Linked DNA regions of Canis lupus familiaris. The protein of the gene in region 1 interacts with the protein of each later gene in a pairwise test. Links are inferred from orthologs where the notes say so. Each region holds a gene or a part of one and is shown in the gene's direction. Other genes may lie near its edges. The genes, in order: TOP3B and SPRED2.

What was found.
Region 2: the proteins of TOP3B (region 1) and SPRED2 interact in binary tests that used the Homo sapiens proteins (3 or more experiments, as listed by UniProt). The link is inferred for Canis lupus familiaris from reciprocal best matches to the Homo sapiens genes TOP3B and SPRED2.

The regions. Positions count from the first base shown.
Region 1 is NC_049247.1:31,388,777-31,393,051, reverse strand, and holds the start of TOP3B (DNA topoisomerase 3-beta-1), read left to right. Parts: upstream 1-1,215; 5' UTR 1,216-1,311; intron 1,312-1,476; exon of another isoform or gene 1,477-2,111; intron 2,112-4,275. UniProt on the Homo sapiens protein: Releases the supercoiling and torsional tension of DNA introduced during the DNA replication and transcription by transiently cleaving and rejoining one strand of the DNA duplex.
Region 2 is NC_049231.1:66,165,456-66,169,698, reverse strand, and holds the start of SPRED2 (sprouty-related, EVH1 domain-containing protein 2), read left to right. Parts: upstream 1-1,351; 5' UTR 1,352-1,494; coding exon 1,495-1,520; intron 1,521-4,243. UniProt on the Homo sapiens protein: Negatively regulates Ras signaling pathways and downstream activation of MAP kinases. Recruits and translocates NF1 to the cell membrane, thereby enabling NF1-dependent hydrolysis of active GTP-bound Ras to inactive GDP-bound Ras.

The DNA.
Region 1 (4,275 bases):
TGATGTGGCTTAAGATAACACATCCTGCAATGTTGCTGCCCCTTCCTGTGGAGGATACAGTGACCTTGTCTCTCAGGGATCTGACCTTGAGGCCAGCTGAGTCAGCATTGACTGGGCTTTGGCAAGAACGCTCTTGAGATCCCCCAGAACTGAGCACGCCGTGCCCCCTGCTGGGTCCAGGCCTCAGATCTTACCTCCTGGTGGGCAGAATGATCCCCAAATGGAATTAAAGAATAAAGGGGCTCTGGTGCTGCCTCTCTGCCAACTGGTCTCACCCTTTAAATCCAGTCTTAGACCTGACCGCTAGAATAGTGTGGGAAACAGACCATAGGGCGCAGAGTGGAGACTAGGAGACCAGGAGGGAGATGGGCTTGGGTCAGGATGGTGGCCGTGGAAGCAGGGAGGATTGATTGCATCTCAGATATATTTTGAAGACAGGGATGGCAGGATTTTCAGATGAGTAATAAGCGAGAAAAAGAGAGGAATCCAGGACGCTGTCAGACACTGGGCTTAAGCAACCAGGAAGATGAAGCTGCCATTTTGGAGACGGAGACCTTGCCAAGGAGTGGGTTTGGAATCAGTTCCGTTTTGAAAATGAGTCTCATTATGACTTTTAATTCTTGGCATTTCTCGACCTTAATTTGACCATAAGATGTTTCTTTGTCCAGAGCATCTTTCAGGGCTCCTACTCAAAAAAGGCAGATTGGAGAAAGAGCCTACAGGGAGCAGGGGAAATGTGTGTCTGCTATTACTTAAAACATATTTAGGGACACCATAAAAGATATTGAAATAAGGCCATGAAAAGTTTTTTAAGCCTTCCATAATCCTAATGCTTTAACACACAAAAAAAGTTGTTTTTATTGCCCAATTCATCTTCCAGATGGATTTTTTTCAGATAGATTTTATATTCATTCATTCGTTCATTCCACATTCGTTCACAGCATTAAAAAGAGTCGGCTATACGCTCATCTGCGAATTTGATTATTTTAATTATGAACAGCATATATATTTTCATATTTATCATTCCGTTTTTACGACCATTGTAACAGCTGCCTTTCTTGCTTTCCCGGTGGCGAAGAAGAGTAAAGGTGGGGGGTTTGGGGAGGCCGCGGGGAGGGGTCAGGAGGCAGGGCCGGTACCCGCGAGCCACGGAACCCGCGGACGCGGACGTGCGCGCCCCGGAGGACAGGCGAGGGGACGCCAGCCGCGGGGACGCCCGCCGCGGCCGGACCGGAAGTGGAGGCTGCCGAGTCCGCCCCCCGAGCGGAAGCTGCGGCGGGAGCCCCGGCGGGGGCCGCGGCGGGGCTGCGGGTGAGCGGCGGGCGGCGGGAAGCGCCGGGGAGGTGGGCCCCCAGCCCCGGGGCGTGGGAGAGGAGGCGGCGCCTCGCTTTCCCGCGCCCTGCTTCCCGGCGGGGGCGCCCGCACCCCGGGGCTGGCGGTGGGGGTGCCGGGAGGTGGTGAGGGGCGACCTCCATCGACCCTCCCGCGGGGCTCTGAGGTGCGGGCTGCGGCCACAGGTGGGGAGACGGAGGTGCGGGGGGCCGCCTGCCGCCCCGGGCCCGGCCCGGCCTTGAGGGCTCCCGGGTGTGTTTCTCCGAGTTGTTGGTGGACAGACTCGCCGGATTCAGTTCTCGCAGGTGAAAGGGAGGACTGGCCTTATCCTGCCTCTTTGCCACTCAGCCTTCGGGAGAGGACGTGGGAAGGTCCGCCCAGAGTGGGCTTGATGGCCACGGAGCCCCGAGGTGCCCCTAGAGCCGCGGCAAAGGTCGCCTGGGCCTCGGCCGCATTGTTCTGAGCCTCGGTCCGCTCGCAGTCAGAAAACTGCCCAGGCCAGCCTCGAGGCGTGACGGGCCAGGTTGGAGAGAGCGGCGGCGTGCGGAGCGGGGCTTGCGTGCAGAGGAGGGGCTTGCTCTCCGGACCCCGCGGCACCGGGTTAAGTGGCCAAGGTGGAGATCCTGCTCTCGGTGCTGTCTGCGCCACCGCTGGGCCTCCACCCCCAAGCCGAGTTCCGTTGTTCGTAAGACTGACAGGGGAGGACTTTGTGTACCGCGACCCCCGAGGGCACCCACCGTTGCTGATCCTGCTGCCGAGAGGAGAGTCCGCCGACGGCAGTAAGTGCCCACCTGACGCTCTCCCTTCACAGTTCCAGTGTGTGTTGTTTGCTGTCAACACGCCCTCAGCACTGGCTGATTCTCCCTTTTGAAATGAGAGAACCAACCTCAGATGCAGCTTTAGCAGGCGACGAGATCAAATTTGATGAACCACATAGGTTATGGAAAAGAAGGCGATCACATTTCCCTTTAAAAATAACAGACATTTAAGATTTTATTTATTTATTCATGAAAGAGAGAGAGAGGCAGAGACACAGGCAGAGGGAGAAGCAGGCTCCATGCGGGGAGCCCACGTGGGACTCGATCCCGGAGCTCCGGGGTCCCGCCCTGGGCTGAAGGCAGAGCTAAACCGCTGAGCCACCGGGGCTGCCTTAAGATTTTTTTTTTTTTTTAAAGATTTTTTTTTAAATTTTTTTATTTATTTATGATAGTCACAGAAGAGAGAGAGAGAGAGAGGCAGAGACACAGGCAGAGGGAGAAGCAGGCTCCATGCACCAGGGAGCCCGACGTGGGATTCGATCCCGGGTCTCCAGGATCACGCCCTGGGCCAAAGGCAGGCGCCAAACCGCTGCGCCACCCAGGGATCCCAAGATTTTTTTAAAAAGCAAAAACCTGGGACGCCTGGGTGGCTCAGAGATTGGGCGTCTGCCTTTGGCTCAGTTTAGGGATTGAGCCCCACGTCGGGATCCCTGTGAGGAGCCTGCTTCTCCCACTGCCTATGTCTCTGCCTCTCTCTGTGTCTCCCATGAATAAATAAATAAAATCTTTTTTAAAAAATGCAAACCCTTAAGTAATAACAGTACAGCAAAAGGGTTTTAAGATGGCATATGGTATAATGATGGTTTATAGAAGTTTGCAAACCACTGCTTTCAGCTTTTATTCTCATTGATTTCCCCTTTAAAAAAAAAAAAAAAAAGATTTTACTTATTTACTCATGAGAAACACAGAGCCAGAGGGAGAAGCAGGCTCCCCATGGGGAGCCCAACGTAGGACTCAATCCCAAGACCCTGGATCACGACCTGAGCCAAAGGCAGATGCTCAACCACTGAGCCACCCAGACGTCCCTGATTTCCCTTTTGAAGTTGGAGTGTGCCTTAATAGAAAAATAGGCCCCAAGATAACCACCGAAAATTAATCAGTTAAGACTGCAGAATTCTTTTAACAGGTAGACCCTGGTGCAGTTAAAAAAACAAAAAAGTATCTCATAGAGAAGCAGGAGTTTCAGCTCCAACTCAACAAACTTTCCAGGTAACCTTTGGAGAATCTCTTTCTCTGAGTCTTAATTTGTTCTTCCTTGAGACGTCTGTACCAGATCATCACCAGGGTCCCTTTCCCAGGATTCCAAATCCTTAAAGAAAGTCATACATTTTTCCCAGTAAATCAGTGATACTCAGATCATTACAAAGTCCTTATGCAGAACTGAACTATAAACTGTTGAACTAGAGCCAGAGCTGCTAAAGACCTACATGTAACAGTGTGGAACAGCAACTAGTCTGAGGTGGACAGGTGATCTGAAACGGGTATGGATGCCGGTGTGCCTTCGTGGGCGCTGTCGAGGTTTATCCCTAGCCCTGGATAAATGAGGTACTCCCTTTGAAGATGCTAGGACAAAATGTTTCTCTAAAGGGATCTGTAGAGAAGAATCTGTTATTTCCTGAAAGTGTTTAGGATCCTTAGGTACAAAGAAGAGTAGTAGAAATATAAAACTTCTAGAAATTTTAACACCATAGGAAAAAAGGACGTTGAGAAGTGTTTGCAGTAGTCCTATAGATGTAAAGTCTGTTTTTAAAATTTAGGTATCTAGGGCAGCCCGAGTGGCTCAGCGGTTTAGCACCACCGTCAGTCCGGGGTGTGATCCGGAGACCCGGGATCGAGTCCCACATCGGGCTTCTGCATGGAGCCTGCTTCTCCCTCTGCCTGTGTCTCTGCCTCTCTCTCTGTGTATCTCATGAATAAATAAATAAAATCTTAAAAAATTTAGGCATCTGTAAGTTTTTATTATTCACTTCACAGGTAAATTTTTTTTGATAGAGAAAACACGCACACATCAAAGCAGAGGGAGAGAATCTTTTTTTTTTTTTTAAGATTTTATTTATTTATGAGAGAGACCCAGAGAGAGGCAGAGACACAGGCAGAGGGAGAAGCAGGCTCCATGCGGGGAGCC
Region 2 (4,243 bases), on another chromosome or scaffold:
GGTAACCTATGGCCCAGTAACTGGGGCCTTCGAAGGGCCATCCTCCAACACGAGAGAGGTTTATTAAGTAATTTTTTTTTAATTTTTTTTCTTTATTTATGATAGTCACACAGAGAGAGAGAGAGAGAGAGAGAGAGAGAGAGGCAGAGACACAGGCAGAGGGAGAAGCAGGCTCCATGCACCGGGAGCCCGACGTGGGATTCGATCCCGGGTCTCCAGGATCGCGCCCTGGGCCAAAGGCAGGCGCCAAACCGCTGCGCCACCCAGGGATCCCTATTAAGTAATTTTTAAAATGTATTTGGGCTCACCTTTTAACCCAAGGAAGCCCATCATTTCTACTGAAATGCATTTGCATTTCTGAGCTGTGTTGGAGTTACCTTTTTTTTTTTTAAGTACAAATATCGATTCCTCGTAAATGTCCACTCCTCTAGCAAGACAAAAAAAAAAAAAAAATCACAAGATTCATGAGAAACTGAAAAGCCTCTGCCATTCGGAACCTTGGCAAAAACACCTGTGCCGCCTCCCCCCGCCTCCCGCCGCAGCGCGGGGGAGCTGGTCCTCCAAGCCCGAGCACCCCTGGGGCCTCCCCTGAACTCCGCGCCTCCGCCCCCGCCCCCCACCATCGTTAATCCAGGGGTTCGGATGGAGGGAGGGAACCAAACTGGAGCCAGATGTGCGCGAGCCCTCGGCTCCCTCCCGCCTCCTCCCTCCTCCCGGGCTTCTCAAAACCCGGAGCGTCGTCCGGCAGGGATCCGGAGCCAGGCAGACGCCGCACAAACAGCTCCGCTCCGCGGCTCCTCCGGGAGCGCCAGCCGGGAGGGAGGGGGCAAGGAAGCCGGGCATGCTCAGTAGGCGGGTCAAAGTTTTTTTTTTTTTTTTTTTTTTTTTTCCTCTCTCTTCTCCCTTTTTTTTTTTTTTTTTTCGGTCGCAAGTAGGAAGCTTTTTTGCACTCCACCACCTCTGGCCGCTGGGAAGACGTCATCGCTTCCGCCCTACTTCCTCCTCCTGTTGGCGGCGGTGAGAATCCAATATGGAGTAAATCGGCGGAGTCGGGAGATGGGGCTCGGACGGGGCGCCCTGCACCGCCTCCCAGGCGCACCTCCCCCGGCCGCCGGCCGCTCCCCGGAACCGTGATTGGCCCGGGCCCCGGGGGCGACCCCGGGCCGAGCCCCCGCCCGCGGCCGGCCCTCCCCCGGCCCCCGCAGCCCCCGCCGTGCACGGCGCGCTTGTTTTTCTGTCTCCCCCGCCGCCGTCCGCTGCCCGGGGCGCTCCCGCTCCGCCCGGGCCGAGCCCCCGAGCCCCTCCGGCCGGGCCCCGGGCGCCGCGGCGCGCGCCCCCTCCGCGCCCCCTCGCGCCCCCGCGCGCCCCCTCGCGCCGCCCCCTCCCCAGCCCCACCGGGCGGTCTCCGGAGATGTGAAGCCGGGGCTGAGCGCGCAGGAAGATGAAGGGAGCCGGGCTGCCCGCCGCGGGACAGGCGTCGAGGTGAACAGGAAAATGACCGAAGAAACACACCCGGACGAGTAAGTTCGGCTGCGGGGCGGGAGCGTGCCCGCGGGCGCAGCGTGGGGTGGACCTTGGCGTGGGCTGCGCGCCTGCCCCCTGCCCGCCGAGCGGGGAGGGGCGGCGCGGCCAAGGGCGCGCGGGTGACCTCGGGGCGCCCCCCCCAGATCTCCCGCGGCCGGGGCGGAAGGACCGGGCACCCCCGCTGCGGCTCCCCGGGGCCGGTGGGTTTTCCCGTGGGGGCTCCGCGGCTGCCGCCCCGCCGCTCGCCCCCCATCCCCGTCCCTCCCCATCCCCGTCCCGCCATCCGCATCCCCATCCCCGGTCCCGCAGGCAGCCCACCGGGGGCCCGGGCTCCGCCATTTCGTTTTTCTTGAATCGCTCTCATTTGCATACCACATTTTCATTCATAAAAAAAAAAAAAAAAAAACAACGCGGCGGAGCGGAGGGAGGACGGGGCGCGGGCCGCGCGGGGGGCCTGCGGGAGCCGGGGATCCCCGGGCGGGGCGCGGCGCGGCGGGGGAGCGGCCGGAGGGGTCCCGCGGCGCGTGTGAGCTCGTGTGCACGCGCCCTGGGGCTCGGGACGGGCGCCCCGCGGGGTGGGGGGGCGGACCCGAGGCGGGGGCTGCGGGGGCGGGCGGGGCGGCGTGCGCGCGTGCACGGGGTGCAGGGGGTGCAGGGGTGCGTGCCCGGCCCGCGGGCCCCAGGGAGCGGTGCTCGGGGCGCTCGGCTGGGGGGCCCCCGGGTGGCCCGCCGCCCCCCGCGGGCTCGCTCGCCCAGCCCCGGGCCGAGGTGAGGCTCCTGCAGCCTCGCGGTCGCGGAGTCGGAGCTGCCGTCCTCCCACCCGCGCCCGGGGCGCCCCGGTGCAGGGGGAGCCGAGGCCGGGCTCCTGGGCCCGGCGCCTGAGGTCGTCGGCCGCGGGTCCGAGCGGTCAGCGCTCGGCGGCCGTCCCCGCTGCTCAGTGGCTGTGCCCGCCACCAGCCACTTTTTTTTTTTTTTTTTTTTTTGTGAATAAGACGCTCTCCTTTATTGTCACATGATATCCCTCCCCTCCTCCCCTGCACATTCATAAATCCGGAGCCTGCCTCGGCTCCTTTCATTCAGAGCTGCCCTTAGCGAAGGTAGCAGTGGCGCGGGCTGGGGCGCAGAGCCGTGGGCGGCGCGGGGGCGCGGGGCCGTGGGGGCTGCGGGGGCCTCTGCTCCTGCGAGCCTGGACCGTGCCGAGGGGGGAAGTGACTCAGGGCTGGGTGACCCGGAGGGCTTCTCTTGCAGCAGGTGACCGAATGCTGTGCTCTACTCTTAAGAATCTACTTTTTTTTTTTTTTTTTTCTTTCTTTTTTAAATGCCCCTTTATCCTTTGGCGTCTGCTGTTGCCAGGCTGGGCGGGAGAGGGTGGGTGTTTGGGCAAAGGGACTTGCCTTCCCTTGTCCCCCCCCTCCAACCCCCCCCCCCCGCCCCCCCGGGGATGTTGGACTGCAGTTACCCCTGGTCTGCTAAGACACCTGCCGCTGGGGACCAGCCTGCCTGGAGCGCATGTCGCTGCGATGCCACCACCGCTGTTGATCTTTTTTAAAACGTTTTTTTGCCTTTGCCTTCATACACTGCATTTTGAAACTGTAAAATGGGGGGGGGGAAAAGTTGCTTTTGGGAGGAAGAGATATGCTGCTGGGCCTTGTTCCCTTCCGACTGGACGAATAGGCCAGTGTTTCTCTGGGTCTTCCTTTGTCCCTGCACACGCAAATAGCAGTAGTAGCAGGGAGGGACGGTGGCCTTGCTCTGGACGTTGGGATTCGTGTTGGAGATTGGTTCCACTAGCCCTGCGCTGGGGTCCTTGGCTTTATTCCCTTGGGAGTACTGGTCCGGCCTCTCCCTTTTCACTGCAGCATGGCAGCTTTGCGTCCTACCCCATCTGACAGCCAAAGCAAAAGGATTTGGGGTGGGATCATGAGCAAGAAATGACTACCTCTATTTCATGCTTTCAGAGCACTTGAGCTTGGAACTGGCTGCCCCACTGCTGTCAGAAGCCCAGTTGAGACAGTGGGTTTTGAGGACAGGTTCTGGTTTCAGTTAATCAGAAAGCTGTAGCGCCTTAGCCTACTGCAGAAATGGCCTTCCTGGGATTACTTTTAATGTAATGACCTTGGCATGAGACGTGAAATGTAAGCCGGTAAGAACACGGGCTGCATGGGCTGTTAACTGCCGTTTGTGGACACTGTCCATTGTATTGTTCAAGTTCTTATGTAATGACCCATCTGAAAAATGCCTTTTAAACATTAGTGCCTGGAAGAAGGTTTCTCTCTGGATTGCAGAGCTTGCTGTGATTGCCTTTTTGTTGTCGTTGGGTTTCTTTTTTTTTTCCTTTCCCCCCTTTTTTTTTTGCAACCATTGTCTGGAAGCTCAGAGCTAAAATTATTACTGGATTACAGTGGTCATAGTTAGCCTAGGTTTTTGCTAGGTTTATTTATTTCTCCTCTAGTATGAATTTTTATCTTTTATTTTCTCTTATAATGGCTTTATGTTTGGGGTCCTGCAGATAACCTTTTGGAAGTAGACCAGGTGTGTTTCATATAAAGAGATTTGGTGACCTCAAATTGGAGACCTTTGGGAGTTACAGTTATGTCTTAGGTATAATAGATTTTTTTTTTGAGAGTCCATATATATTTAAGTTTTTTGCTAAATGGTACAGAAATGTAATAAATACATTTAGCATCAGAGTACAAGAAGTCAGAATCTTGCAACTGGC